4 linked regions of the Alligator mississippiensis genome follow. The protein of the gene in region 2 interacts with the protein of the main gene of each other region in a pairwise test. Links are inferred from orthologs where the notes say so. Each region holds a gene or a part of one and is shown on either strand. Other genes may lie near its edges. The genes, in order: ATXN1L, RBFOX2, RNF8 and HMGA1.

What was found.
Region 1: the proteins of RBFOX2 (region 2) and ATXN1L interact in binary tests that used the Homo sapiens proteins (3 or more experiments, as listed by UniProt). The link is inferred for Alligator mississippiensis from reciprocal best matches to the Homo sapiens genes RBFOX2 and ATXN1L.
Region 3: the proteins of RBFOX2 (region 2) and RNF8 interact in binary tests that used the Homo sapiens proteins (3 or more experiments, as listed by UniProt). The two-hybrid records come from large-scale screens. The link is inferred for Alligator mississippiensis from reciprocal best matches to the Homo sapiens genes RBFOX2 and RNF8.
Region 4: the proteins of RBFOX2 (region 2) and HMGA1 interact in a two-hybrid assay, tested with the Homo sapiens proteins (2 studies listed by BioGRID and IntAct, with this or other methods). The link is inferred for Alligator mississippiensis from reciprocal best matches to the Homo sapiens genes RBFOX2 and HMGA1.

Annotation. Positions count from the first base shown.
Region 1 is NC_081833.1:77,569,836-77,577,308, reverse strand, and holds the start of ATXN1L (ataxin-1-like), read left to right. Parts: upstream 1-4,387; 5' UTR 4,388-4,597; intron 4,598-4,688; 5' UTR 4,689-4,740; coding exon 4,741-6,867; 3' UTR 6,868-7,473. UniProt on the Homo sapiens protein: Chromatin-binding factor that repress Notch signaling in the absence of Notch intracellular domain by acting as a CBF1 corepressor. Binds to the HEY promoter and might assist, along with NCOR2, RBPJ-mediated repression.
Region 2 is NC_081827.1:101,111,704-101,119,389, reverse strand, and holds the start of RBFOX2 (RNA binding protein fox-1 homolog 2), read right to left. Parts: upstream 3,104-7,686; 5' UTR 2,821-3,103; coding exon 2,611-2,820; intron 1-2,610. UniProt on the Homo sapiens protein: RNA-binding protein that regulates alternative splicing events by binding to 5'-UGCAUGU-3' elements. Prevents binding of U2AF2 to the 3'-splice site.
Region 3 is NC_081824.1:169,948,921-169,956,414, reverse strand, and holds the start of RNF8 (E3 ubiquitin-protein ligase RNF8), read right to left. Parts: upstream 3,290-7,494; 5' UTR 3,166-3,289; coding exon 3,082-3,165; intron 511-3,081; coding exon 382-510; intron 1-381. Other genes in the region: AARS2 (alanine--tRNA ligase, mitochondrial), read left to right, coding at 3,356-3,589, 4,978-5,166. UniProt on the Homo sapiens protein: E3 ubiquitin-protein ligase that plays a key role in DNA damage signaling via 2 distinct roles: by mediating the 'Lys-63'-linked ubiquitination of histones H2A and H2AX and promoting the recruitment of DNA repair proteins at double-strand breaks (DSBs) sites, and by catalyzing 'Lys-48'-linked ubiquitination to remove target proteins from DNA damage sites.
Region 4 is NC_081837.1:37,338,043-37,346,053, reverse strand, and holds the start of HMGA1 (high mobility group protein HMG-I/HMG-Y), read left to right. Parts: upstream 1-4,775; coding exon 4,776-4,877; exon of another isoform or gene 4,878-5,263; intron 5,264-5,458; exon of another isoform or gene 5,459-6,605; intron 6,606-7,556; coding exon 7,557-7,679; intron 7,680-8,011. UniProt on the Homo sapiens protein: HMG-I/Y bind preferentially to the minor groove of A+T rich regions in double-stranded DNA. It is suggested that these proteins could function in nucleosome phasing and in the 3'-end processing of mRNA transcripts.

The sequences.
Region 1 (7,473 bases), on a different chromosome or scaffold from region 2:
CTATGTATACACAAAAAGTTCACAATAACTTAAGGAAACTGTATACAACTTAACTAAAGCAATCCTGTCTGGAAGGGACAGAGGTTTTGTCACTAAAAAGTCTTTAATAAGAGTTACTCTAATGTTGCAAACACTAAGAACATGAACAGTCGCACTGAAGTCAGTGGACTTGTTAATAGGTATAAAGCTACATATCAGTTTAAGTGTTTAGAGGATTGGGGCTTAGTTTTTAGAGCTTTTGAAGAGGGGCAGAGGTTGGGGTTTTTTTGTTTTTGTTCTTTGCATATAGCAATTTGGTCAGATTCAAGCACATTACTCTATTAGTACAGGCATCTCCTGAAGAAAGCCTCTATGATTTAGTCCATTATAGATTTTAGATTAAAAAAAAAAATCTAAAGATCAATTATCTCACCATGATTTAAATCAGTGATGAATTTTAAAAGTCAAGTGATGTAAATCACCCCACTCAGATCTACATACAACACACTGCACTCCTCACACCAAGAAGAATCAGGCCAGAGCCAGCTCAAAGCCAATGCTAGAACTCCCCAATTTGCTTCAATGGCAGAGGATCAAGCCCTTTGTGGGTTAAAGGAAAGGGCCATGTGGAATATGGCTAGACTGAAGTAAGAGAGCACAGACAGTTTTCTTCCTAAATGCTACTGAAAAATTCAAATGGGCTTGAACAGCAGCAGTAACACATGGATCCAGACAGGGCAAGAACATAATTGTGAACAGAAGCATATCAGGTCCCGAGGACAGCCCACTGGAGCGCTTCAGACACCAGCGTTTCACTTCATTTTCCATAACATTCATCCCCAAAGGGTAAACCACAAACAAAGGTGGGAGGCCATGCAGAATGGCAAATTAAATAAGAAGGGACTGAGAAGTAAGAAAAGTTATCAGAAACAACAGCATGAAATTCAACCTGGAAACAGAGAAGCTAGTCTCCCTTGGGAAAGGTAAAAAAAAATATTTAAATTGAATGGTGAAGTGGTAACAGCAAGAGACCAGAGAGATAGAAAAGAAACAGGAGTTTGAAAGCAATATGGAAATAAAAAGGGTCAATATTGCTTTGGGCTACACAAAGGTATCGGACAGGAAGAGAGTTTAAATATCAAGACAGCATTCTTGCAAGCCAGGCCTTTAACACCCTCACAAAGGAAGCAGCACTCTTCTCCAGCAGCATTAAAAAAAATTGAAGCAGCAAGAGTCTTCTGAAGATAAAACAATTCCAGGTGGCCCAAAAGTGGAGGGGGGGAACCAATATTGTTCTCTATGATCTTTACTGTGCATAAGGCTCAAGTGTCTGCATCAGGACAGGTTGGCTGAACAAGTGAATATTACCCCTTTAGAAGCTAAGCAATGGAGAGCGGAGGGAGATCACCAAGGCCACACCATAAATCAGTGAGACAGGCAGGATTACAACGCCAGAGTACCCACACCTCAGTCACCACAACCATGCTGCCCTTTACTGTTCTCCTCTGTTCCTGCTAATACGATCAACACTCAGCTCTGGTTTCCGATATACAGATGCATCTTTTCAGCTCCAGAGCAGACCCCAGAACCTCTGGGCTGCTGCTCTAGCCCAGCAGAGAAGAACCCTTTTTCAAGGCCAGATGGAAACCCTGGGGCTCACGGTGCACTGCTTAGGCAGCATCACTGCATGCTGTCAGGTGACCTCAGCCAAAGCCCAGGAAGCATGACCTTCAGAGCAGATGTAGCCTTCAACTTCCCCAGTCCATTCAACTTGTGGCCTCTGCCAAACTACAAGCATGGAGCCAATTACTGCCACCTGTAACACAAGGAGGGGCCCACAAGCAACTCAAGCACAACTGTCTGGCACATTCATCAGGTGACCATGACTCTTCACCACTTACCAGCCTCAGCTTGATTTGCTACATGTCCTGCAATTACCAGCACCAAGAATCCTAATCCAATAATGTAGCTGCCGACACAACAGTAGAGCAGACACTTTGCCCTAGAAAGCATCAGAGAAAGATCTAAAATAGGCCACTCCAAACAAGTTTGCCTATTCCTAGCACGGTAAGAAACCGAAGGTCAGTTTCAGGCTATGGAAATCACCAAAACCTCAGAGAGGGCTTAAACAGCCACTCTCAAAGGGAACGTAAGTTTTCCTTGCTAAGTGCCAAAAATGTGTTAAGAAGCTTCTACCACTTAAGGTCCAGAGTGACTTTCCAAATCTAAAACATGAAGAATCAGTGCAGCACCTGCCTAAGTCTGCTACCATCTCTAGGGCCCGGCTGCTCTCCCGAGCTTTGCCAAGGAGTCGTGTGAAAAGTTCCCAGCCTCCCTCGCTGTCTGTGATGTTATGCAGGACCCTGTGCAGGGCGCTCTCCAAAATCAGACTGCCTTCTCTTGCCGTTTGGCTGGCGTAGGCAGAAAGGCAACACTGGCTTTGTTCACTGGAGCAGAAAACCCTCCAAACCAAGAGGAGTTCAGAACAAGGACAGGCTAGCAGAGAAGTCATTCCCACAGCAGCCACCAGCCTCTTGTTAGGGCCAGAGCAAAGTGCTCATTTTCTCCCTTGTACATCCTAGGATGAGGTCTCAAACCTACCAGATACCTAGCAGGAGGAATATACATGTGAGATCCAGGAATCACACCCATGTAGGAAGGTGAACTCCCAGCCTAAAGGAGAAGCAGAGGGGGTCCATGCTGCTCATACTTGGGAGAGCAAAACTTCTCACCTCAGTTGAACTCTCAGGTGTCTGGTAAAGTGAATCCCCCACAGAGAGCAGATGCAAGCAGATAACGAGAAGCGAGACAGGCAGAGAGAGAGAGAGAGAGAAAGACCGTGCACACAACAGGGGGAAAGGAACAGGCCCTGAAAACAGATAAAATAAGCTTCCAGTGTAGCAAGAGAAAACAGATGCTGAAGCCAGGGAAACCAAGTGTGAAACACACCACAGCCAAAAAAGAAAGCAAGTTATTTTGCAGCAATATATTAAATAGAAAAGTGAAATCTGTAACTGCTCTACTGCTGTGAGCTGCAGTGCTGGGGCCCGGGGCGCCACGGAGGAAGAGGCACCGCCAAGTCGGGGAGTAAGCAAAGAAGCATACACCCCAAGTCGCCAGCACCCCCGGGAGACCCGTTTCCACACCGCTGCCTCGCGCGTCGCACAACGGCTACAACCAGCGCCGCCACGTCGGAGCCGGTCTCCAGGAAAAACACGCTCGCTGCCGGCGGCGAAGAGGCTTTTCCCCTGCCAGTGAACGCAAGCCGAAACAGGAAGCGGCAGTCGCTGTAACGCGCGCGGAGCTGGACAAGCTCGAGGGGACGGTGCCACCATCCCAGGATCCCTCGCCGCGGCCGGCCAACGCGACACGAGCGGCCCCACGGCTTCGCCCCTCGGGACGTGTCGCAGGCGCCCGTCTGCACGCGCAAAATCGCCTGTTCGGGAACAGTCGGCCTGCAGACCGCCGCGCGCGGGCCGGAGCGGGACGCGCACGCCGCATGCGAGCCCCGGGGCGAACGCATGGCCCGCTGCGGCCGGCACCCTCCAGTCCGGAGGGACCCCTGCGAGAAGAAATACCTATCGCCCCCGAGACAGACGTGTAAAACCTTCGTCCGCTTCCTGCTGGTGCCGGGAAAACCTGTCCGGGAGGGGACAGGGAAGGCAGCAGAAGCACACGAGGCGCTGGGAAAGCCGAGGACGGGACGGGGAAGGCGGGCGCGGCTGCCAAGCAGAGCAGGGCCGGCGGGGGCCGCGGCGGGACGGGGCGGGGCAGAAGATCGAGACGGGGCGGGGCGGGGCGAACACCGGGGCTCGGGGCGGGGGGGCCGCACTCACCGGGCCGGGCCGGGCGCCTGCAGCGGACGAGGCGGCGGCAGGGCCAGGCGTTCAAAATGGCGGCGCGGCGGCCTCAGCACCGCTACGGCAGGCGGAGGGATCCGCGCCCTCGGGCGGCGCCCGCTCGGCACCCGCCCCTGCTCGCCCCTGGGGACGCCGCCGCAGCCGCCGCGGCCGCCCCGCGCACTCACCTCGGGCGCGGCGGGCGCGTAGCGCGGGCGAGGGCCGGGCCGGGGACTCCTTTTCCCGGCGGAAGCGCCGCGTTCTCTTGTGCGCGGAGGCTGCGCAGCGCCGTGGCAGGCAGTGATGACGTCAGGCGCTGATGGCCGTGGGTGTCGCGGCTGTACCCGTCCGATCGGGCCCCCCGGCCCCGCGCCAAGGTTCCGCCCGCCAGCCGGCCCCGCCCCTTCCTGTCGCCCGCCGCCCACTTCCGTCGCGCCCCGTGCCTTGCCCGCGGCCTCGGGACAGCCCGTGCGGCGCTGCGGGCCTAGGCCAGGTGGCACGAGCCCAGGGCACCGGCGCTGCGCGGAGCCCGCTCGGGCCGCCGCGCGCTGTGTGATGTGCTCGACAGGCCGGCCCGGGCCCGGGCGGTGCCCGGTAGCCATGGCAACACAGAGCCAAACGTCATTCCCGTGCGCCCCAGCCCCCGCGGGGTGAGGCGCTTCCGGCGCGCGGCCTACACGTCATCGCCGCGCGCCGCGCCGCGGGGAGGGGTCGGGTCGGGTCGGGCCGGGCCGGGCCGGGCCGATGGGGGCCGGGGCGGCGGCGCCGGGCGATGGCGGGTGAGTGGCGGGGAGGGGAGCGGGGTCGGGGCCGGGGCCGGGGGGCTCGGCGGCGGCGGCGCTGACGCTGTCCTCCGCCCTCCCCCCGCAGGTGAGGCGCAGGCGGCGGCGCGGAGCGGCGGGGCCCGCGGGCCGGCGGCAGCATGAGGCCGGCGCACGAGCGGAGCCAGGAGTGCCTGCCCCCCAAGAAGCGCGACCTGCCCGGCGCCGCCAGCCACGACGCGGCGCGCCCGCCCCTCGGCGCCGCCAACCACGCGCCGCCCGGCGACGGCCCCGCCTGGGCCCGGGGCGCGGCCGCGCGCAGCCCCGCGCCGCCCCCGCCGCCCTCGCGCTACGGGCCGGCCGGGGAGGGCGCGGGGCCGGGGCCGGGGGCCGAGGCGGGGCCGCCGCTGGAGCCGTACGGGCTGCTGTACAAGGTGGCCGTGCCGCCCGCCGCCTTCCCGCCGCCCGTGGTGAGCATGAGCCCACTGCCGCCCGCCTTCGGCGTGGCCTCGTCGCTGCTGCCGCACGCAGGCGTGCCCTACCCGCCGCTGCACTACGCCCAGCTGCCGCCCGCCTCGCTGCAGCTCGTGGGCCCGCACTACACCGTGCCCTACGCCGTGCCGCCCGGCTTCCTGCCCGGCCCCCTGCTCTCGCCCTCCGCCGGCCTGGGCGCCTCGCACGTGCCCCACTTCGTGCCATACACCTCTCTGCTGACCGAGGAAGCCGCCGCTGCCGCCGCCTCCCCTCCGACTACCTCTCCCGCCCACGCCTTCAGCAAGCCTGCCTCTGCCCTCTCCCCCTCCAGCCAGGTCCAGCACCATGCTGGCGCCCAGCCTTTGGACATAGCCCAGGGGAGGCTTCCTGTTTATTACCACATGTCCCGGCTGCCCCCGGGCTTCTCTGCGTACGAGATGTCTGCTGCCGCTGGAAGCCCGGATCCTCCCGCGCAAGAGAATCAGCTGAATTCGGACGCAGCGTCTGCCAATGGCGGGCAGAGACATCTAGAGCATCACGTGGTGCGGAGGACTGGCGAGGCTGTGGACTGTGCCAGCAGCAAAGCCGAAGCCCAGCTGTGTGGGGCGGCCGTGGAGTGCGTGTTGGATGGACAGTTCCTTTCAGGTTACCAGACTCTGAGAGCAGAGGTCTCTGTGCCAGCTCACAGAAGCACCCCGGATACTGACCTGGAGGTACAGAGGGTGGTTGGGGTGTTGGCCTCTCAGGATTACCCGATTCTGGCAGCCCAGAAGAAGGATGGCCTGAGCCCTTTAAACCTTTGCCATAACATCCCTGATCAGCAAGGGGAGTCTGGGGACTTGTGGAGGAGTCCCATGGAGGCGGCTGCTGCTGCTGCAGAGAAGAGCCAGCCCAGGAGCCCATATGCAATGTCCCCCGAGGAGCCAGCCAGATACAGACAGCTAACCAAAGGAATGGCGATAGCCAACGGCAAGCCGGTTTTAGTGCCGGTCGGGTCCGAGCCCATCAGGTCTTCCTCCTCAGAGACCCTGATACGGCAGAGTCCCAACACACTGGCCCGGGGGAACATGCTGGACAAGGATTTGGGCCCGGTGCAGCCCCCCAGCTCCTCCCATCTGCCTTCCCATTTCATGAAAGGAGCCATCATCCAACTGGCCACCGGAGAGCTGAAGCGGGTGGAAGATCTGCAGACCCAGGACTTTGTGCGCAGTGCAGAGGTGAGCGGGGGCCTGAAGATCGACTCCAGCACAGTCGTTGATATCCAGGAGAGCCAATGGCCTGGGTTTGTCATGCTGCATTTTGTAGTGGGGGAGCAGCAGAGCAAAGTGAGCATCGACGTGCCCCCAGAGCACCCCTTCTTCGTGTATGGCCAGGGCTGGTCCTCCTGCAGCCCGGCGCGGACTGCCCAGCTCTTCGCCCTGCCCTGCCACAGGCTGCAGGTGGGGGATGTCTGCATCTCCATCAGCTTGCAGAACATGAATGGCAACTCTGCTTCTCAGGCGACCTGCCCTCCCGCGACCCAGCTTGTGCCTGCCAGGGAGCGAGCTGACAGAATGGTGCAGGGGTCCAGAGAGCACCCCCCTGCACCTCTGCACAGTGAGAGGAAGAGCCAGGCAGAAAGGGACAGCGCTGCCCACGCTGCCTGTGCGGAGCCCTCCCAGCCTGAGCCGGGTGGCCAGCACAGCTGGACAGCCCCCAACTTCCAAAGATGTACCACGCAGGGGGAGGAGCCCCGGCCATCCCTGCTCCGTCCCTCCTTCATCCCCCAGGAAGTGAAGCTGTCCATTGAAGGGCGCTCGAATGCCGGGAAGTAACGCTGCGAGGCCCTCACCTGGGTCATGCCCCTGGCTGAGCCCCCCTTTGTCAGGTGGAGATTTTGCACAGACTGAGCGACGGGTTGACCGGCGAGGCTGCTGTCTGCCTGCAGAGCTGGTTCGGTTCCTGTTCAGTCACTGATCAGATCCTCTCCTGGAATCCAGAGGGCTCCAGTGCCTCAGGGAGCAGCAGCAACAGGCGAGTTAGGGATGGAGGATGGGGGATGTGGTCATGGCTGTGTGGCCACAAGCATTCCAGAGCTCGGGGCTCTCGCACGCCCCTGAGTGCCTGAGCGTCCTGCAGGCCGGGGATGGAGCACTCGGGGGTGGGGGCGGGAGGGGCGGACCCAGGAAGCCACAGCCCAAGGTAGCAGATACAGTATCGGAAGTGTTTGTTCCTCTCTATGGTGGTGGGGAGCTGGGTCCCTGCGGGGGCCAGGGGCACCGCTCCCAGCCTCCCCACTTTTCACACATGCACTTTAAAAGGACACTTCGTCACATGTTGAGCTCTTGGGGTGGGGGCAGGTGTTTCTCCGACAGCCTCTCCCTGACATGTCTCCTCCACTCAGTCCCATGGGACTTTCTGCTAGCAAAACCCCTGCAAGC
Region 2 (7,686 bases):
CTTTTAAGCTTCTCTCATTCCTGTCTTCCTGATCTTCCACTATTTCCTTTTTCACAGACAGCCTCTTTCCTACCTTGTATTCTATCACTGTAATGTCTCCCTTTGACCTTCCCCCCCAACCCCTGCTTTACCTTTTGTCTTTCTAATTTCTACCTATTTATATTCCCACTGACATCCTGCCACTCTTTTCGCTTCTCTCATTCCTCCAGCATCTCAGACCAGCAGAGACTCCCTATGCCTGAAGAAGTGTGGCAGTGCCCAACAGCTTGCCAAGAACTTTTTTCCAACTACTCAGTTGGTCTAATAAAAGACATCACATCTACTAAAAGAACCTTGCCTGTGTATATCAGAGTTCATACATTCATTCATACAATAGACTTCCATAGAATATACACAGCTTCCCTCAACACTGAGCAGCTTTTCCAGCGCAATCCTGCAGATTTACGAATTCACAAAAATACCACTTTGGCCACAGAGAAGACGAGAGTGCCTTCCGGTGACCCTTGCAGGGGCATGGAGTACTGCAAACAGCGAACGTGAAGTTCCAAACCAAGTTCAGACCATATAGTGATGCGAGAAAGGAAGGTTACAGGGAAACAAGCAGGAAAGAACAAACACACAGAAGAACTAAAACAAACAAAAAGCTCCACACCCTCCTGCTTCAAAGTAGTCAAAAAAGCCTTCAGCATGGTAACTGAATAGAAGCCAGAACAAAAAAAGTGAAGAAAACTAGTTGTGTAACTACTGGCATTTGAGAAGGGTCAGGAGAAAAAGCTCTGGGCTTTCCCTTCAGAGACAATCAACACAAGCCACAAATCCAGAAGCAACTCCGGATGAATAGCTCACACTGTTCTCAAGGCATTCCAACACCTTCAGTTCAAGAAGCAGTCGCAAGAAGCACTGAGACCACCTGCTCACTTGCCTAAGCACAATAATGCTACATTAAATATAGCCAAGGAAAAAAGAACAATATCCAGAATCCCAAACGACTCAAATAAATGCATCTGGAAAAGGAAAGCACAAAACACTGACCAAAATACACTGGGGCAAGACAACAGAATCTTTTCTCTCTGACCTGTCTACCCTCAAATCTAATGATGAGAGGTAGCACTCTCTTTGTCAACCCTGGAAATGTCTCATGTGATGTCCCCAAACCTTCCTCCTCTGTTACCAGGTACACCGACAACTATTCAATATCATTTGCAAACAAACAAGAGCAGGAGCAAGCCAAGTGTCACTGCTGACAAGAAACATGTATGTTCACTATATGAACTACCCCCTTCTACAGCATCCCCCAGGGCAGAGGTGTCATTATACAGACATGAATACAGTATAAAGAAGAGAGAGTCAGGGGGAGAAATACAGTAGTGTAGGAAGGGGAGGCCCAGTGAAGAGCAAACAGAAAAAAACTACTAGAGGAAAGGGGCCCTCAAAAAATTAAAAATGTTCACTGCAGTGACAGACAAGGTTCCTTGGGTGAATTTGATATCTTTTATTAGACCAACCTAAATGGTTGGAGAATAGTTATTAAGCAAGCTTTCGGGTTCAAAAACCCTTCGTCAGGCTAAGGAAGCTGTAGCAGTTGGTGTGCTCTTCCTGCAGTGACGTGCCCACCTGAAATCAAGAGTTCATACCCATCTTTATTAGTGCCAGAGTGGATGCTAACATGCCCTGGATGCTAACATGCCCAGTCCCCCTTGCCCCCTCATCCTGCCCATGCGGTAGGTACACTTTACTACGTACACTGAACGTAGCAGCTTGCGGTCCATCAGGCTCTAAACTAGTATGGGCTCCCCTAACTCTCTGATCTTGTCACTCAGTAAAAACTGGCTAGGGACGGGTGGAGGAACAAACAAGGCCAGTAACAAACACCTTTCACTAGCTATATGGGGAGACGTAGTTCTAGGCGGATGCCCAATTCCAGGGGGTGAGGGACTTGGTGGCAGAAAACATGTTTGAGGAGAGCAGCCCAAAACTCTCAGCCGCTGAGTGACGCAGGACTTTTAGCCTAACTATCAAGGCAATTTCCTATGAAGCAAAGCATTCAGGGCTGCGAAACAGCTCCTTGGGGACAGTGGCCTGCGCGTCGTCCTTCCTGACACACGTATGACGCCCTGACTTCGCAAAGGCCGCTCAAAGCTTGCCCGGTCAGCTGCGCACGCAGGCAGCGCGTACCTGGAGGGCAGGTGGCTCCGGCTGAGTCCAGGCAAGACGCACCAACAAGTCTGACCCCAAGTCTTACCTGCTTAAGCCAGCCCTGGGCACACTGACAAGGGGCTGCGCAACGTCAGGCTGCCCAACGTCAGGCTGCCCAGGCTGCGGGGCAGCAGGCCGCACTGCCAGCACAGAAGCAGGCGCGGTCCAAAACCCCGGTGTGAATTCAAGGCCACCCACAATGTTTGTGTTTTACCAGCAGTAAAGTTGACATCAACTTTTTTTGGAGGGGGTTTAAAGCCCTGACTATGGCGGTGCCCAGCTCCGGGCTCTGGGCCGCGGGTGGGGGCCGAGGGGCAGGACACGCCGCCCTGGGGGGGGGGGCCTCGGGAAACCACGGCTAGAGAGAGGCCGGCGGGTGGGGGCCGCTCGCTCGCCCGCCCTTTGCTCCCGCACCTGCATGCCGCCGCCCTCGGCCGCCTCCGCCTCCGTCCTCAGCCGCTTGCTGTGACCGCTCTCGGCTCCGTCCCCGCCAGGCATGGGCTGCTCCGGCTCCGGCTCCCGCTTGATGCCCCTGGGGGCCCCGCCGCCGGGGAGGAGCTGCTGGTTCTGCGGCTGGGGCTGCGGCTGAGGCTGCGGCTGGGGCTGGCTGCCGCCCTCCGCCATCCGCGCCCGCCGGACCCCGCCGCCCCGCGCGCCCTGCGGGGGCCGCCGCTGCACAGCCGCGATCCCTGCCGCCGCCCGGCCCGGCCCGGCCCGGCCCGGCCCGGTCGCTGCCTGCCCGCCTGCCCGGGGCGATGCCGCGCTTGGGCTCGGGGTCGGGGAGCACGCGCCTCGCTCCGACCGCCGCTCCACACCGTACCGCACCGCGCCGTTCGGGATCGGGCTCGCGGACTGGGCGAGAGAAGGTGGCGGGGCCCTCGGCAATCTCCGGAACCGCCGCCTGGGCGGTGCGACCCCCGCTCGGCAGCCTTCGGCCTGGGGGCGGGGCCTCGGCCGGCCGGGCGGGGCTGGGCTGGGCGGGGATGGCGGCGGCGGCTGGGCCAGTCTCGGAGGCGTGAGGCGCTGGACTGCTCCTGCCCCGCCCCGCCCCGCCCCGCCTCGCCTCGCCCGGCCCGGCCCGGCCCGGCCCGGCCCGGCCGAGCCTCGCTGCCCGGCCCCGCTCAGTGTGTTTGCAGTGGGGGGGCCGGGAATGACGCCTGGCAGGGGCCACGCGTAGGGGGTGCACATGCACCCCCTGCGGAAAGGCGCTGCCAACACTGTCGGCTGCCTGCCAGCCCCCCCCCCTCCGCTGACACCGCCGGTGGCACGTGCTGGCGGGCTGCCCTCCCCGCTGGCCGCCGCCGACACTGCCAGCAGCGTGTGCGGGTGGTCGCCAACCCCTGGTCAGCGCTCACCACCACCCAACCAACAGTGCCGGCGGCGTCTGCGGGAGCTTCAGCTTGCCGCCGCTCTCCCACCGCCGGCGCTGTGCGCCCAGCCTTGTTCATGACCCCAGGAACCCCCAACACACACGCATGGGCCAGCTCACCCTCACACGTGCCCCAACAGCCACACACCCCATCTGGGCTAGCGCAGCCCCTCACTCATCCTCCCCAACACATAGGCATGCACCCACATCCCTACACACACACCCCAACACAAGCATGCACATACCCCACCCAGGTCAGCACAGCCCCACACGCGCACCCCAACACATCCTTCCCAACACACACCCCCACACCCCCCAGGGCCAGCTCAGCCCCACACGATGCTACAAATAATCCCTCTTACTCTTTACACAGCAAAATTGGGCTCCCTGTTCCCCCTGCCATAAAGCCTTCAGAAGCTGTTTGGCTGAGCTGGCCCCAACAAACAGGTCTCCTTCCTAGCCTCCACCCCTCGACTTGACCCCGCAAGGCCTCTGGAATAAGAACTGCTGTTTGTTGGGTCAGACCACAGGTCTGTCTAGCCCAGCATCACTGGGTCACACGGTGGCAGACAGTGATCGCAGACAGGGACAGTGACCTGGGTCCGGCCAGGGTTTTTAGAATCATAGAATTGTAGAAAATGAGGGTTGGCAGGGACCTCAGGAGCTCATTTACTCCAACCCCCTGCTCAAAGCAGGACCAGCCCCAACTGGATCATCCCAGCCAAGGCTTTGTCTAGCTGGGTCTTAAAAACCTCCAAGGACGAAGAGTCTACCACCTCTCTGGGTAACCTGTTCCAGTGCTTTACTACCCTCCTAGTGAGAAAGTTTTTCTTAATATCTAACCTAAACTTCCCTGCTGCAACTTGAAACCATTGCTCCTTGCTCTGTCGTCTGCCACCACTGGGCACTTGTATACATGACACCATTACCATGTCCGCATGACAAAAATGTCACTTTGTGTGGCTTGATGGCGTCACATGGCATGTGCAAGACTTTTGAGGGTGTTAAGTGAGTTTGCATGGTTGCAAACTAAACTACATCTGGATGTAGTAGTTTGCAACATTGCAAATTGCAACAATCCAGCTGTCAACTCACCACCCCCCTAGCTGCAGGAGAAACAAGACGGCTCCATAGAAAAACAGGATCGGGCCCTTCTCTGCTTCTGCTTTCAGCAGGCTCCTCCGGCTGGCAGGATGCCTGGGGCCATCCGGGAATGGGATGGTTTGTCCCTAGGGCAGTGCAGGACAGCAGCAGGAGGGCAGCTGGGTTTGCTGGCAGCTGGAAGAGGTGGCGGGGATGGTGCACGAAGCCCTGGAAGCTTGGGTGGGCTCAGGGAAGCATTGCATTGGGCACCTCTGAGCTGGGGCAGCACCTGGCCAGCTAACAGTTCACCCGGGCTTCCAGCGCTCTGTGCACCATCCCTGATGCCTTCTCCAGCTGCCAGCTAACCCAGCCACTCTCCTGCAGCCTTCCCGCGCTGCCCCAGGGGCAAGCCAGCCCATTCCTAGGTGGCCCCAGGCATCTTACCAGCCACAGGAGCCTGCCAAAGACAGAAGTAGTCATGCATGAACAACGCATGCCCCCGGCAGCTGGGGGAGCATGGTGGCTGCAGGAGCGCAGTGGTGGTAAGCAGGGAAGCTCCTGCAGGCGCTGTCAGTGGCAGGAGGGGAGGGGAGTGGGGGCGAGTGCCGACCAGGGGTCAGCAACCACCCACAGACCAGCAGGGATTGTGAACCGCCCACAGATGGCACCATTGGTGTCGGCTGCAGGGTGGCAAGCAGCGACTGCCCACAGGTGTCACCGACAGTGTTAGCAGCACCTTTTAGTAAGGGGTGCACCACCACGCTCAGGGGATGCACATGCACCCACGTCCACCCGCTACATGTCACCCCTGCAGTCATGGCCCAATCCTCTTTTTGTATTTTGGCAGAGCCTGCCTGCCTCTCCCGTGGCCAGAGGCTGAGCTGCCGGCAGGCCAAGTGGCCCCTGATCTGTTGGGGAACTAGTCCTTCCCTCCGCGGTGGCGGTGCACCCCAGGGCCATGGGCTGCTAGCAGGCCGGGTCAGGGCCAGCCCATCCTATCCTGCAAAACCTGCGGCCACAGGGGGCCCCACAGCCAAGGGACCCCTAGCGTCCAGCCACTCACCACCCCCACCCCCTGCCACTTCATGGGCCTTAAGGCCCACCCATCTAACTAATAGCCCCCACTGTGTGAAGCCAAAGGGTGAAAGACACAACTAATTTTTTTAATTTGGGGGGGGGGGGGGGACAACTGAGGAAAAAGCAGGATAGGCGTGACCAGGGGTTCAAGGGTCAAAATGTGAAAATAAGTGCGCCGGGGGGGAACGACACTGAGTAGAGCCCCCCATCCCACACCCACTGGTCCTCAAAGACATCCAAGCAGCTGGTGGAGGCTGCCCATTGATGCTCTGCCTGGAAACATGCATGGATGAGTGAGAGGAAAGGAGCCCCGCATTCCTCAGGCACCTTCCTGGCCAGCGCCTCCTTCCTAGTTATGTACAGGGCCCACTTGGCCAGGGCCAGGAGGAGGTTGACCAGGAAGTCCCGGGACTTGGTGGGGCTGCAAATGGAGTGCCCAAAAATAAAAAGGTGTGGGGGTGAAATTCATCCAGAACCTCAGGAGGAGGTTCAGAAGGTGGAGGTGGAGGTGTTGCATCCTGGCGCACTTGAGTGTCATGTGCGCAGGGGTGACGCATAGAGGGTGCACATGGGTGCACGTGCACCCCCTGAGCTTGGCGGTGCACCCCCTACAAGAAGGGGGACCGCCACCTGCAGGCGGTCACTGCTTACCACTCCCACCGCTGACACTGGCAGCGGCATCTGTGGGCAGTCAGCGATCACCGCTGGCCAATGCTGATGCTGCTGGTAGTGTCTATGTTTGTCTGGTTGGGGCTCGCCTGCCCCCCTATGATGATACTGTTGTTGGCGTCTGTGGGAGCTCCTGCTTACTGCCACCGCACTCCTGCTGCCATCATGCCCCCCCAGCCGCCAGGGGCATGCATCATTCCTGCATGTGTGCCAGGGCCTGTGAAGCTCACCACATATATGCCTGTGGTGATGGCTCCATGGAGGAGCCACCAGCTGAGGTCCCCAGTGGCTTGTGGGATGAAGGCAAAGTATAGGCTAAGCCACTGGGGTGCCCCAGCCATGCCCTCACTGAGCAGGTCCCGCCACTTGGTGTCTGGGCAGGATGTGAGGGCAACATGATGGATAGTGCGGCACATGAGCATTTAGAGGTGGCAGCGACAGACAGTGGAAAAACAGACCGGTTTGGTGTCCTCCAGCCGGCTCAGGTGGTGGGATGGGGAGTGCTGTGAGGCTAGGTGAGGCGCCAGCCTCAGCAGCTCACTGCTGGCTGCAGGCAGGCTCCAACTCCAAAAAGAAAAAAAAAATGATCAGGCCCCCTGCTGTAACACGATGGAAAAACTGAAGCAGCGGGTTTCAATTAAAAACCCACCACTTCGATTTAAGGGGCATAGAGGAAAACTCTGAGGGCTAAACCCCTGTCATATGTACAAGCACCCATTGAGAACAAGTCTAGTTGCAACCTCCTAGGAACCCCTCTTCAGGTAGTTGAAGGCTGCTATTAAATCCCCCCTCAGTCTTCTCTCCTCCAGACTAAATAAGCCCAGTTCCCTCAACCTCAGTTCATAAGTCATGTGTCCCAGCCCCCTAACCACTTTCATTGCCCTCCACTGAACTCTCTGTAATTTGTCCACATCCTTTCTGTAAGGGGCGAGGGGCACTGTTTTTCCCACTGTTCCTCTCCCACTTGCAGCTTGCAGCATTTAAACTCTAGAAAGTTCTTATTCAGAGGCCATCCCCCTGCCTCCCATGCTCAAATCGCTCCTTCCCCTTTGCTTTTCCTTGCAATTCTCAGCACTAGACTTTGTTTCCCACCATGCTCCTACTTGCCCGTCTTGGCTAAGCATGTTTAGAGTGCATCATAATCTCACTGAGCTAAGTAATCTTGTTTCATTGGCAGATTTTACCATGAAACTGTTTATCCTCTGTTTTCCAGACTGTCAGCAAGCAGTGTAGGTCTCAGAGTGCCCTTTGAGAGCATCGCATCATTAATCTCTTTTGTCATGTTGAAAAAT
Region 3 (7,494 bases), on a different chromosome or scaffold from region 2:
CTGTCTGTCCATCTCTCTCTCTGTCCATGTGCGCAGGAGCTACGTGGGCACCAGGGCTACAGGAACAGGGGTTTCTGGGTTGGGAATAAGGGGCACCAGCAGTGCTGGGGGGCAAAGGGCTACAGATCAGGAGTGAGGGGCACTGGCAGCGCTGGGGGGCAGGGGGCTTTGGGTCAGAAGTGAGGAACACAGGCAGTGCTGAGAGAGCAGGGGCTTAGGAGGGAGGGGCAGAGGCAGGGCACAGGCATATCACTACCCTCCCCCTCAATCATATACCTCTCCCCCTGTTCTCCCCACACCCCTGCTGGCTACCCGTGCAGCCTCCCCCCCCCTGCAGAGGGATGCTCTCTTTTTTGATCCTGGAAATATAGTAACCCTAACCTTGTTGTCTTTGACTGTCCACTGGCCTTCTTCATTCTGCTTGAAAACACAGTGGTTGCGAGAGATCATCAGCGGGCAGATTTTTGATACTAGCTGGTAGGTGAGACCAAGTCCTCGACCGATAGTTACCTAAAAATAAGAAGTTTAACAACAGACATTACCAATAATTGAGAATGGGTGCTCTATATGCTTTGATCTTAAATACAAGGAAAATGGTCACTGAATTTGTTTTGCACAGTGGAAATTAAAGCAGTAAACTGACCTTAACAAAAAGATTACTATTTATAAATTTAAACACAAGAAAGGTAACATGTTGATAAAGTTAAGTGCCAACAGTAAATGGAAGCCTTTGAAAAGTGGAAGTATTTGGGCCTTTTGGGGAAAAAAGAAACAATTTGCCGCCTCTGATACTGAAGACAATGACCATAAAAATAAAGAAGAACAAAGGCTTCAGAGGCTTCCAGATAACCACGTAGCTTCTAAGCGAGGGGTGGGCAAAATACAGTGCGTGGGCCGCGTGCGGCCCACCAGGCCATTTTATCTGGCCTGCGTGGCGCCTAAAAAATTTAGAAAATGAATATTTATCTGCCCCGGCTGCCTGTCATGTGGCCCTCAATGACTTGCCAAAACTCAGTAAATGGCCCTCTGCCCGAAATAATTGCCCACCCCTGTTCTAAGCTCCTCCTTCCTCTAAGGCAGTGATTCTCAAGCAGGGTGCCACAGCACCCTGGAGTGGCTTGAGATCCTTTCAAGGGTGCCACAGGATGCCACACTATGTTAGCACTGTTAGGTATGCAAACATGATTCACAAAATAAACCCAGAGATTTCAAACAGAAATCTTTAGTTGCGGTCTTTCTGAGCTCTTTGCAACAGAACTATTATTTTTCTGTAGTCAAAAAAGGAGTGAAGATCAAGAGCTGGCATCTTCGGAGGGGTGCCTCAAGACTATCCAGGAGTGCCTTGAGTCTAAAAAAGCTGAGACCCACTGCTGTAGGGCCTCTTACCTGAGAGATTACGCTTCAGGTAGAATCGGGAATTTATTCAGCTTTGCTCTTTAAATTTTTAGATTGCATTTTCTTTGCTGCTGTACTACAAGTACCTACTAGCCACTGCTGCCATTAACACCAGAAATTTAACCATGTACAATACTCCCTTGCCCAAGAGATCTCCCTGGGCATTCAAAATCATGTTTTAGTACCTGACAAGTCATATGTTTCTATTCTTCCTAAACTTCAAGAGTTACCTCAGCTAGAAGAATCAGCTGGTTTCCTGCCTGCCTCCTGTATCAGAAAATGAACTAAATTTCAACTGCAAGGGCAAATTCTACCGTTATATCTATGAAAAGCCATGGTGCCTTCAGTGGAGACTGCAGAGAAGTAACATTAAGGAAATTAGCTTTGCTGATGAAGATGAGCCTGGCAGAAAGAAACCAGCTTAATTTTCAGAGCCCACGCTGAGTTTGTAAGCGTGATTGGCGAACTACTTCGCACAAACACGGTAGAACCTTTTTGTATGAAGAGCAAATCAAATCGTAAACTGTGAGCTTCTGCATGCCTATCCAAATTTCCACTGATTAAGATTTCAAGAAAGGATTTTCTTGATTTGTAGCCCAGGTAAGTTATGAGACCTAAAACCATGCATTGCAATAAACTTACAAATATTGGCAGTTAGTTCTCTTCTCCTGCCTGCAGGCCAGATCAATGGCTCAAGGGTTGGACTCTAAGGATGCGTCCAGATGAGCATGCACATGCATTTCCTCGGGGACAAACAGCAGCGACATTTAGATGTTCGGGAGGGGCCACCAGGGTTTCAGTGGCAGCAATCCATACGTGCAGAGGAGCCTAGCCAGCAGCCAGAGTAGGGTTCTGATCATCCAGGCTCTGTTTTTGTGTGGCGCACGCTGCAGCCACATGCCCTGCTCCACTTTTTATTGGTGTGGGTTTTTTTGACACTGGGATCTCCTGTTCTCAAAAAAACCTCTGCAAATTAGCAGTACTATGAACATCTGTATGTGTGGTGCATGTGGTATGTGGCGCCGCTGAAGGGTCTGTGGAACAACAAACCGCACACGTGCGCTTGTCTGGACGCATCCGTAGGCCCTTGGTATATATACACATTACATATATTACACAATCAACTGGTTAACTAAACAATAAATTTAGACCGGCCACAAGTGGAAAGTAATGATCACACAATTAACTGGTTAACTGCACCCTATATTTAGGTCACCTCAAGACTCATCAATGAGTCGTAGCAGAAATCATCCTCAAATCGAGGGGCTGCCCCTGCCACCAGCAGCGTAATTACAGGTGACAAATTACGGGTGCATAGACGTGGCGACGACAGAGCTGGTACACATTTCCAAGCACTAACTTCATAAGCGGTTGGCTCTCTTCAGAGCCAGAGAGTCACTGTCAGAGCATGGCATGACTTTGCACATGTGGCCGGTCAACATTTGCTGCACGACACACCGGTGAATGACATAATATAATGTAACAGGTACCAGGGGCCTTAGACTACCAAAGCCGGGAGTGGGGTGGGGAGGGGAGCGAAAGGCTGGCTCTCCCACCTACCTGACACAGCAAGCGCGAGCCTACCTCAAATCAACATAAAACTCCTCCCTTCCCTTCCCTTCCCTTCCCTTCCCTTCCCTTCCTCCTCCACTCCCCCGGTGGTCGAAGCCCCCCTGGCCCGCGCACCTCAGCGCCGCCCCGCAGCAGCAGCCACTGCTCGTGCTGGCCGAGGCGCCTCAGACACCAGCACCGGCCACCACACTCCGCCATCCCGCCCCGCAGGCAGGACCAATCGCTCCCCTAGGAGAGGTGGGGAGGGGCCTCCGCGCGACTGGGGGCCGCGGCGCATGCGCAGGGGGGCGGCCAGGTGGAACAATGGATGGCCGAGCTAGGAAGAGCGGCGGTGGCAGGGGCTGTTGGGAGTGCGGTGCTCGCGCATGCGCCCGCAGCTGTCCGCAAGATGGCGGGGCTGTTGCGGGGCTTGCGCGGGGCGGGTCGGGGCTGCGCTTGGCGCTGCGGGTATCGCCGCCCGTGCTGCTCCGCCGCCGCCGGCCCGGGCCCCGCCGCGGGGCAGGTGCGTGAGGCCTTCCTGAGCTTCTTCCAGGGGCGGCATCGGCACCGCCGCCTGCCCTCCGCCTCGGTGCGGCCCCGCGGGGACCCCGCGCTGCTGTTCGTCAACGCGGGCATGAACCAGGTGTGTGCGCATGCGTGTTTGTATGAGCACACGCGTCTGCATCCTTTCCAGGGATGGCTACCTGCGTGCATGCACATGCGTGTGTTTGTGCGCACCTGCGTGTGTGTGAGAGTGCCTGGATGGGAGTGCATATACACGTGCAAGTGTGTGTCCATGTTCATGTATGTGTGTGTACATGTGTGTTCCCATGTGCGTCTGGATGGGAGTGCGTGTACACGTGCACGTGTGTGCAGCTGGTGTATCCTGTGCAGGGCCTACCCTGGTGAGGCCACCTGGAAGAGGCTTGTATCCCACACCTGCACCCACCCTTCACTCACGTTGTCAAGCAGGGCAGGGACTGGGCTGAGCCTGGGGGGTGCCTTTCCCATGCCCCAGCCAGGAGGCTGCAGGTCTCGTTCCCCTCCACAGTCATAGGGAAGTAGGGCTGAAAGCGGACCCCAGAGGTTATCTAGTGCAACCCCCTGCCTGAGGTAGGATCATCCCTGTCCAAACCATTCTGTACAAATCATAATCTAGCCTCTGCATGAATCTACCATCAGCCCTGACACAACACAGACCTAGCACCCTAACCTGCCCCAGGTAAAGCAGGGGAATCACAGCAGCCAACATCCTGCTTCTATTAAATGTTGCCAGTATACATTCAAGAGATCTTAGATAGCTACACCCCCTGCTAGAGGAAGGCAAAACCCCCCACAGTCCATACTGGTCTGGTCACAGGGGTAAAAGCCCTTCCTGACCCCAGATAGGATGATCGGTCTGACCCTGAGCAGAGGTTTAAAACCCTCTAGCCAGGAACCTCTGGATTTGGTCCCAGTGGGAGCATTGGCACACCCTGACCAAAGTCTTCAGCCTTAGCTATAGCCAATACGCAGTGCTTCTGGGAAGGCATAAAAGCACCCGTACACGTGTTATAGCAGACAAGGGGAGGGAGGGGGCAACCAGCAAAGCACAGGAAATGCCCATAGTAGTTATGCCTGGATCACCCCCGAGCAGTGTCCAACCTCTTGAAAACCTCTAGTGATGGGGAGTCCACAGCTTCCGTAGGGAGTCTGGTCCACTGTCTCACTAGTCTTGCAGTGAAGAAGTTTTTCTGGATGTCCAATCTCAACTCACTTTCTTGCAACTTGAAGCCATTGGTCCATGTCTTCTCTGCAGCAAGAGAAAACAGGTGCTTTCTCTGTTCTTCAGATATTTGGAGCAGTCCCCTGATGTGCTTCAGCTGTGATAAAACAGAGCCAGTTACTGAGCTGTCCCATCTGCCTATGTTGCAATTAGCCCTTAATTGCCCTAGGTGCCTTCCTCCTTGTTCAGAGTTGCCACAGCACAGTTGGAGTCCATTGTACCAGGCAGCGTCTGAAAATGTTTACACTTTTACATTGCTGTTCTAGTTCAAGCCCATCTTCCTGGGCACGGCAGATCCCCGGAGTGAGCTGGCCCAGTACCAGCGTGTGGTGAACAGCCAGAAGTGTGTGCGTGCTGGTGGGAAGCATAATGACCTGGAGGATGTGGGCAGAGACACTTACCATCACACCTTCTTTGAGATGTTGGGGAGCTGGTCTTTCGGGGATTACTTCAAGGTGAGATGCTAAAGCCAGAGGTAGGCAAAATATGGTTTGTGGGGCTGTATCTAGCCCACCAATTGACTCTGTCCAGTCTGTGGGTGGGTAGCAGCTCCAGCTCCGGCCTCTGGTGGCACCACATGTTGCTAGGTCGAAGCAACCCTGCCCACCAACCCGCCTGGCTCTGCCTCACTGTCAGGCCCCGGCACCCCTGCTCAGGCTGGGCTGGCGGTGCCCTGCCTGCCTGCAACATGGAGCTGGCAGGAACCCCGTTGGGTGCCAGGACCGTGTGGCAAAGGTAACCCAGTGCCTTCTGGTTCTGTCCCCACCTCTTCCCTTGCCCCATGCAGCACTGCAAGCCAGCCCAGCCATCTGCCTCTTGGCTGCAGCCAGCACAGCTCCTTCCTGTCCACCCAAGTGAGGCTGCTCCCAGCATGCTGGGGCTCCTCCTGGGGGAAGGGGAACCACCAGGCTGTGGGGGTGCAGCCTGCATGGCTCTAGCAGGGAGTTGGGGTGGGTTGGAGGGGGCTGCTGGGCTTCCCCAGGCTTTGTGAGAGAGCCAGTGTGGATGGAAAGGAGTGAGGGGCAGGCAAGCGGGTTTGAGGCTCAAGTAGCTCCTAAAGGGTGTGCCAGTGTGCATGCTGAGGCAGGAACTCCCTTGTGATTTGGGGGATGGCTGGGTGATGGCAGGGCTCTGGTGAGGGTGGGGGCATCCTCCCTTGGCCTAGTTTCCTGCTGACTGGTTTTGGTTCCCTTGAGAAAGACACTTTATTTTGAGCTATTACACAATCACATCTATGTACACTGCTAAAAAAAACCCCAAACAAATCAGGACAAAATTTATTCTTTGAAATAAAATTAAAATATTCCATAATGTTCGTTGTTTTTTTTAAGCATGTGATTTGGGTTTTTTTCTATGGTTTGTTAAAATGATATCTTCACCATTAATTTTACATGTGTGGCTCTCAACGGCTCACCAGAACTCACTAAGCAGCCCTCCAGCCAAAATAATTACCCACTCCTACACTAGAGCGTAAAATCCTCAGGGACAGGGGGTCTCTGCAAAGTGTCAGGTGCATCTTATGGCTCCAGAAACATAACTGTACCGGATACAGTCTCTTGGCTGCTTTGATGACTGCATGTTTCTCACAACACAGGCTACATTCTTTGTTGTGAGCTACATGGCTAAAATGGGTGTCTAACCAGGGAATGTGCTGAGCGTATGCGGGTGGTCTAAAATGATAACACCTTCACCAGCTGCCTAACTGTGTGTGTGTGTGTGTGTGTATAAAAAGACTACTGACGTATTAAATATTCTGTTAACTCTTACGTAGAAAAGGGGAGCAGTTTGTGGGGAGTGGAGGGGGGAAGGATGGGTGTTGGGTTACACCAGATAGGAGGCATGGAGTGATCCTTGTATAGAAGTACAAGCAACGCTAGGAAAATTTGGTGAACCTGTGGCTTTAACAATGTATCTCCGATGGGAGCACTGGGTGGCATGCTATCTATACAGAGCTCTTTCCTGCTACTGTGCAGGGAGTTAGAAGACACCTCAAGCGTCATCTAGTCCAACTCTCTGGTCCTGTGACTTCCTGAAGGTAATGGTGACTGGTTTCAGGTGCCTGGTGAACAGGTATCCACACTTCAGAAACCATCCTAGCAGCTGTCCCACTGTCCCCCTCCTTTGGTTGCTTGTTTTGCAGGCTGTGTGGGACCAAATGAACTGTGTGGGGGAAGGTAGGTCTGTCCTGTACCTGTCCCCTGGATAAGAAAAGGGTTCCAGCAGGGTAGGCACTCAGTTCAAAAAGGGAAAATGAAGGCTTGAACTGAGCTCTAGTGCCTCTAGTCAGTAAACTCCCCATTGAATAGGGAGTCACTCTCACTGATTCTCCAATTGACTTAGTGGGTGTAGGCACTGCTAGGTCACATTTAGGAAGCTGATAGTTTTCCACAGATGTCTGAAGGCCTGTCTTGCTTGCCTTGCTGCCTTCATGCTGTGTGATATGCTATCTTTCATAGATTTCATAAATGTTAGGGCTGGAAGGGACCTTGAAGATCATGAAGTCCAGCCCCCTGCCCCAGGGGCAGGAAGTCAGCTAGGGTCAAAGGATCCCAGCAAGATAAGCATCCAAACGTTTCTTGAATGAGTCCAGAGTAGGTGCCTGCACCACTTCTGAAGGGAGTCTATTCCAGGCCTTGGGGGCTTGGACAGTAAAGAAATTTTTTCCTTATGTCCAGCCTAAAACAGTCTTGGAGGAGTTTATGACTGTTGGTCCTTGTTTTTCCTTGGGGTGCTCTGGTGAACAGATGTTCTCCCAGATCCTGATGTACACCCCTTATACACTT
Region 4 (8,011 bases), on a different chromosome or scaffold from region 2:
AAAAACTGTTTGGGAACAGATTTATTTTGACAGTCTTGTCTGGGGGCTGAAGGGGCTCGTTGTTTTGGTGAGATCTGCCTTTCACTGCTCACAGGTTTCATTTCCCAGCTGCTTGCTGATGCTTCCTGAATTGGACCTGTTCTGGTATCTGCCAACTAGGAGGTGGGATTATTCCAAATGCTGATGGCAAACAACTTACCTTCTGAAAGAGCTGGCATTTTAAACCTTGTGAGCAATAAGGGGGAGGAACATTGAGCCTTTAACCTCCGAGGTTGAGCTTGGGGATTTGATTCTGCACACATCTCAATGTAAGGGCTTGCCGGATTGAGTCCCAGGCCAGTATGGAGGAGGGGGGGGGGGGGGCTACAATGGTTTTAAACACTGTTTCTTCAGTGACTGAGCTGTTGGGTTGGAGGCTGTGGCACGAAAGATGCCTGACAGCGGTTATTAGTTGGGCAGCCTCAGTCTTAAGGAGTGAGCAGTAGGGTCCAAGCCCCCTTTCTGTTTCTGCAGCTGCTGGGAAGTGGGGCAAGACAGCAGCCCTTTGGCATGTCTGTGTGTGTTCATGCATGGATGCATGCCCTGCTGGTTTGGGGTCGTTGATGATACTCTGACATAAACCATCCTCTGGTCTAGCTCTGGGCTGAATGCAGGCATGCCTGGATGCAGTCCAACAGCCCATGTTAGGCAGAAGGTCAGTTCTCAACCCCATGAGACAGGACCCCCTCAGGAAACCCTTTTTCAATACAGAAAGAGACTAGTCTTCTGTTTGCAAAGGACTCAGGGAGACCACAACAGAGCAGAGCGGTTTTAAACACTTAAGCATCCCTGCTTGAGGTCTCTGGGCATATCTGCTCTACCACGTTTGCCCACCCCAAAGCACTCTTGAAAGGATCCCAAGGCACCTCAGAGAGCTACTGCACCCCGGTTGAGAATCACTAAGCTAAATAGCTGGCCTCTTTTTGGCTTAATCTATAAAAACGTATGCGTGATAGTACATTAAAGCTTCCAACTTCTGGCGCACAGAGGGCCTGCTGGGCATCTTTGTGAAATCAAGGCCATGGGTCAAACCAAAGGTGCATGGGATGGTCAAAGTTATGGACTGCCTGAGCTTCTTTGGCCCCATCAGCTGGCACCTCAACGAGATGAAAAGAAGTTTTAAGACGTGGGCATAGCGGGCCCGATCTTGCTCTTGGTTGGCGCTGGAGTCACTGCTGGCTTCGGTCGTGTGAAATAACGGTGATAACAGCAGGCCACAAATCCGGCAATCTGGTGTCAGCTCCCCGCTGTCCTGCAAACTCCTACCTGGTGCCAGGGGGATAGAAAGCAGCTTCTTGGTGGAGCCTTGCTCTGACCAGGTCCACGATGACCATCCTTGGAGAGGGCACCGGGAATTGTGCGCGAGCTGCGGCAAAGTGGCATTTTTCAGTCAGCTGAGAAAAGCTGGGGGCAGAGTAGGATTTTAGGAACAGGAGGCCTCACTGGCTGCAGGATTAGGACAGGCAGGTTTTTACTCGACAGGCGTGGCCTGTTCCTGTTAGACCCCTCTCTCTTCCTAGCTTCTGGCAGAATCCACTGAAAAAATAGGAAAGGCTACTGCAGGGTGCAGTTTGCTGTCCACACATTGAAGATCCAGCTGTGGACAGTCCACAGGGTGCAGAGATTTGGGGTAACAGAGGTAGTTGAACCAGAAAATATTATCACTGTAGCTGGGTGGGGTTTTACTGGGAGTCGTGCAAGCAGAGTGAGAAGTTGGCCTTGAGGTTAAGGCCCCTTCTGGGCTCTCTGCATACCCTTGGACGCGTCACCTCTTCCATCTGTGCCTCTGCTTGCCCAGCAGTAGAGCGGCTTGGTTAAAACTACTTGGCTTGTCCTGTCGACTGCCCTCTGCGGGGGATGAACTCACTTCCTGTGGCTTTTGTACAGCACCTAGCAGAGCAGGGCCCTGATCTCAGCAATACGAGTATTATAAAGCAATGGGACCGCAGCACAGAAGCAATGCAGAGAAAGCATGGCCGAGACAGGAAAGGATGCACCGCCCAACACGTGGGTCGACACGTGGAGCAGGGTCCCCCCCAGAAGATAGGCCTGGTAGATAAAGATGCCCTTTACAGTCCTACCTGCCACAGCAAGATTGTTCTCCATGGCACATACGCTTAGAGCTCCACGTGGTGCAGTTGCATCCTTCCCTCCCTTCACCAGAGCTGCACAAAACCGCCCTCAGCCCAAAGCACTGGACAGTACATTAAATCACATATTCCCCCATCTCCCAGTTGGGAGACCACATGCTCCCAACACCGCTTCACCACACCTGAGCCCTCCTCAGCTAGGCAACGTGGTACCCCGCTGCAGCCAGGTTTTCAAAAACACCCTCTATTACTGGGTACTTCAGAGCATCTATGCGGACTCGGTTAGAAAAAAAAGAGCCCAATTCCCCCAGAGGCTCGACCTCAAAATGCATGGAGTCGGAGGCCACTTCTGAAAACTGAGATTTGGGATAAGAGCCAGGTGTGCTTCACAGGGCTCCAGCTCAGACTGGAGCTCAGTGGGGTCCAGACAAGAGGACAGCCACTACGCTGACTCCATCACGGGTGCAAATCAACTAGGAGCAAATATAGGCTGCAAAGTTAGGAGGAGGTTTCTGAGCACCCAACGGTTGAGGCTGTGGAGCAGCTGTAGGAGTATCTAGGGCAAGACACAGCTCTCTTTCAGGGGCAGCAGCTCCATCAGCTCAGGAAAAGGCTTTAATAAGGTGGGTGCCCACGGACACAGGGGATGAACTCCAATCCCTTCCAGCCCCCCATTCCTGTGTGACCGTGGTGAGCTGCTCTCTCCTCTCATTAGCACATCAGACAACAAGAGATCAAAAGCCTTAAGTGTGGAGGAAACCCCAAAGCTCCTTGCACTGCTGCTCCAAATGCAACCACTTCATAATGCAATGCAACAGTGGAGGAAACGGGGTGAAAGCTGGGAGTGGACACCAAGAAGCTCCCTCCCAGGAGATCACACCGATTGGAGGGGCCTGGATCATGCTGTCCAGCGCGGGCGGGCGAGAGGGGACAACTAGGACAGGTCGACGCAGAGCTGGGGGAAAAGGAGCTGGACCATGACAATCCTGTGCATCACCAGGGATCCGGGTTTTGCATTTCCCACGGGAAAACAGAGAAAACCATGGATGGATTTCCTGATTTTAGCAGGGGGAAAAAAAATGGATGTTCCTCTTTTAGCAGAGAAACCTGCGGATTCCCTGCTTTTGCAAAGAGCTCTGCAGGCAAGCAGAGTTGCAGCCTGCAGGCTATTTGCAAAAAGAGCGGGAAAGCCCCAGGCCTGCCTGGAGGAGGAGGGAAGGAGGGGGGCAGGGCCTGAGGCTATCACTCCCCCCAGGCTTGGATCAGGCTCACTTCCCCTTCCTGGAGCCTGGGAAGTAAGTAGGGCTGGGGGCTGCCCCTGGCAGGGGCCCTAGGTGGTGGGTGGGGGTGACTGCCAGGGCTGGGGGAAGAGCCAGCAGGGCAGGGCATTGGTGTGTGGCTGCAGGAGCAAGGAGGTGTTGGGGGAAGCCCCCCATGGAGCACCCACCCATGCCACATGGCCCCAGAAAGGGGGGACCCATGCCCCCCAGATCTGTGTGCAAGGGGCAGAGCGGGTGCACGCTGCCCTCCCCCCCAACCTCTGCAGTGCAGCGTGTGTGACCCTGGACGGCAGGGCACAGCAGGGAGGTGCACGAAAGCTGCCTGCTGCTGCGAGCTCTGCGCTGCCTGGGCCACACCTCCCCTGTGTGCGCAGGAGCAGCGGTGAGGGGCACAACCGTGTGCTACTTCCCCTTGTGCACGCAGGGGAGGTGCGACCCAGGCAGCGCGGAGCTCGCAGCAGCAGGCAGCTTTCGTGCGCCTCCCCGCTGTGCCGTGCCGCACCAGGTTGCACACACTGCGCTGCGAAGGTTGCAGGGGAGGGCAGCAGGGTGGGAAGCACAAGTCTGCAGCGTGCACCCGCCTGCCCCCTACCCCCCTGCACACAGATCTGGAGGGCACGGCCCCCCCTTGACACCCGGGACTGCGCCGGAGCCAGCCCACAGCAGCAGTGGGGGAGCCGGCTCCTGCTGCAGCAGCCATTGCCTTCTGCACGGGGCTGGGGCCCTGGCTCCATAGCCCTGGCACCTGTCCCCCCAGCAGGCCTTTAATTTTAATAACGGAGTTTACAATTTTTTTAAGTCAGAGAATCTGCAATTTTTTTTATCAGAGAAAACCAGGATCCCTGGTGATGACTTGCTCTCCCCTCTCATTAGCACATCAGACAAAAAGAGGAGACCAAAAGCCTTCACAGTCTGAAGGAAACCCCAGACCTTGTCCTACTGCTCCAAGTGTAACTGCTCCATAAGGCAATGCAACAGTGGGGGAAAAGGGGTGCAAACTGAACGTACAAAGGAGGGGACACTTGAGCAGCCCCCTCCCAGGAGGTCATAGCCACTGGAGGGGCCTGGATAACACTGTCCAGCATGGGCAGGCTAGAGGGGACAACCAGGACAGGGTGACACAGGGCTGAGGGAAGGAGCTGAACTATGACAATCCTATTCAACACTCATTCACCAACTGGGCGTAGGACCCTCTATGACTCACTCTTGCCTTCCTTGGGCTTCAGCTCCCTCCCATCAGTGAAGCAGGGATGAGAGTCACCTACACAGCCCAGGTCACAGAGAAAGCATTATATCCATGTCACATAGAAAATGCGGCTGACTCACCCTCCTGTCTTCTCTCTTGCATGACCCAGAAGATAGAAAAATGAGTGAATCCAGTGCAAAATCCAGCCAACCCCTGGCTTCAAAACAGGAGAAGGATGTCTCCGAGAAGAGAGGACGGGGCCGGCCCAGGAAGAAGCCGCAGGTACAGAGAATTTTTTCCTTCCACCCTGCTCTAGAGACTAGGAGAGCTGGGTGCTGGACATCTACAGCGAGGAAAGGCATTTTCATGAGTTAAGTTCAGCCCTGGAAATACCTCTCTTCTTAACCCCCTCCGCATGGTCTGGAGGGTAGGGCACAGGGTTGGGATGTCAAGGCCCCCATATCTCTTCCCAGCTGTACCACTAACATACTCAGTAGCTGACCCCTAACCTACCCATTCCCACAAGCATCATGCTGCAGCTTTACACGCGATCGCACACAGTTCTGGAACAGGAGGTGCAGAGCTGCCTTTGTACAACATTGCAATTATGCTGCTTCCTATGCAAAGCTAGTGGATACAGAGCTAGCTCAGGGGTCTCTGCAGCATGCCTAGCAAAAAGGAAAAAAAAAAAAATCACTAGTATAGAGGGCAAAAAGAGCAATGCACCTTCCACACCTTGCTTGGCCTGCCAGGGCCACGGGGAAAAAGCAAGGCAGTGGGAAGAAGCATTAAGGCATAAACAAGGAACAAGGCAACTCCTTCCCCAAGGATGAGGAAACAGCCTAGGTTGCAGAGCCACTTACTGGTATTAAAGTCACAGTCTGACTCCCACATGTTGGGCTCAGCCTGGCAGAGGTGAACAGCACTCAGCTCTTCTTATGGATACAAACCACAGCTCTGTTTGCTGTACATGGACAGCAAGGACCTGTAGGACTTCTCCCAGGGAAAGAGCCTAGCAGAATTTCCCTACCAAAGCACTCCCTCCTGCTCAGCTGTTATAGCAGCAGCATCTGCCCCAGAAAGAGCCTATCCAGACCAGTAGCACTGTATTGAATTCATCAGTTACTTGGTCCTACAGGCATTTAATTCTGTCCTCACTGCCAGGCCCAAGGGGCTCAAAATGCTCCAGCTAAACACTGCCCCTGATCACAATCTGTGAGACCCTACAGCAGGAGCATTTATCAAGTGAATCCTACCAAACCCATCACTGGCTTAGCTGATCTAGGAGCCATAATGCAGACAGGGCTTCTGTGGGTGAGGTCCTTGTAGTCATGTCAATTAACCCTGCTGAAAAAGCAAATGCAACCAGTGCTGATGGAAGCAGCTGGGTGCTACTCAAGCTCCAGCCAGTTCTGCTGAAGCAGGGGGATTTTGCCTGGGTCTAAATTCCCCAAATACAAGCCCTGAGGCACAGGCTTGTGACTTCATCTCTGTTCTGCCCTGAAACAACCACTTGGGCCGCTCAAGCTGTAATATGGGGAAGGGACCCAGAGGGTTTCTCCCTATTGTGTGGAACGGCAGCAGCTAATTAGCATCCTACCTGCCCCTTCACTTGTGTTCAGGCGGGGATGATTGACTGACACCTTTCCTTTATAAAGCCCATATGTTGCAGGTGTTATTAAGAGACTTGCTGAGGGCTGGGCAGTGAATCAGTGGCCAGGCCCAAAGTGAAACCTGTTCCAGTAGCAGAGCCCTGCCCTGGGCAAGTGGCATCTCCCTGATGTGCTATTGCTGTAGCAATAGCTTAATTACCCTTAGCACAAAACAAGGGAAAGCTGACAGACCCAAAGCACGTATCATGGGAAAGCTGACGTACCCAGAGCATGTATCATGGGAAAGCTCAGAGCCTAGCTCTTATCTCTGTCAGTGGAGTTGCTCTGGATTTACACCAACCAGCCCAGGTCAGAAACTGACCCCTGGTATCTTTTAACCAACCTGAGCCAGCAACTCCCACCTCCTTCCTCTTCCGGCGGCAGGAATATTTGCCTGGCAGGGCTCAGATTGGTGGAAGGAGGCCATCACTCTGCAGGGCTGGGGGCAGGGCTGCCGGTGTTGGATTACTGGTTTTCTAATAGCCGCAGCTATAAACAGCAAGCGACGGGGTATTAGAAACTGTAGCTGCGATGCTCATATCTCCTAGTGGAATGCATAATTCACAACATTTTTATGAGTCTCCCAGCATTAGGGTTTCTTGACCCTGAAGCTGGGGTGATTGATTGCATTTTCTGCAGGGGAAGGGTTTTCTGATGTCTCCAAGATCATTCCCAGAGCTTTGCTTCTTCTGCTCCAAATCTGGGGTGGGGGGGAAGCATTTAGCTTCTTTTGGGCAAGCTGATCTCCTTCCCTCCCTCCACTCCCCTCCAGGTTAGGTCCCTCAATTCAGGTAGCCCCTATCTGATCCGTTCCCCTACCCACTCCAAAGCAGCAGCTGGTGCTTCCTGTCCATAGGTGAGTGGCTCACATTCAGACACATCTAATCTAAGCACCGGCCCAGCCTCACTGTCCGTCCGCTTTAAATTCTAAGGACCGGCCCTTTGAAACTACATGTCCCAGCATGCACGGCTGCAGTGCAAGTACCCTGCAGGTGCTGGCTGGACTCTGCCAGCCCCTCCCTGCAGCAGCTCCCTCTCCGACTGCAGTATCCCAAGGGATTTGGATGGAGCAGGGAGGATGGCTCTCCCGAGTGCATGCTTGCCATCACTTCTAATGACACTGAAGGAGTGGGGAGGCTATGCTCTTCAGTCTCCGTCACCAAGGGCCCGCCTGCTGCGTCTTGCTGGGAACCCCCCATTTCCGGGACAGCTGCTTTTGGGTGGGGAGCGCAGGGAGCTGGGATCTTGCTCTGCTTTGCAGCTTGGCTTTGCTCACTCCTGTCTCTCTTCTCTTTGCTTATCACCATAGATCCGGGCATCCGCTGACAGCCTTGCCCTTTCTCTTCAGCAGGAACCCAGCGAGGCCCCGACCCCCAAGAGACCACGTGGCAGACCAAAGGGGAGCAAAAACAAGGCCACTGCCAAAAGCAGGGTAGGTACCTGTGGGGGAAGAAGGGAAGAGGGAATCGCATGACCTTTCCCCATTTGCTGCCTCCAAGTTGCCATGGTTGCTTATTGATGCTGCTCCTTGGCAACCTGGGGCCTGCTGGTGTCTGGGTACCAAAATGCCCTCCTCCCGAGGAGGCTGGCAATGCCGCAGTTCAGGTTCCACGTTGTGTCTGTCCCTGGAGGACGGCGGGGAAGGGAATCCCCCCACATCAGGCTCCATGGGGAAGCATCTAGCCCAGCCCTGCAGCCAGGCATGTTCTGGACAAGACAGAGGAGCAGCTAGATTTTGAGGCTAAGGCCCGATGGTTATCCACA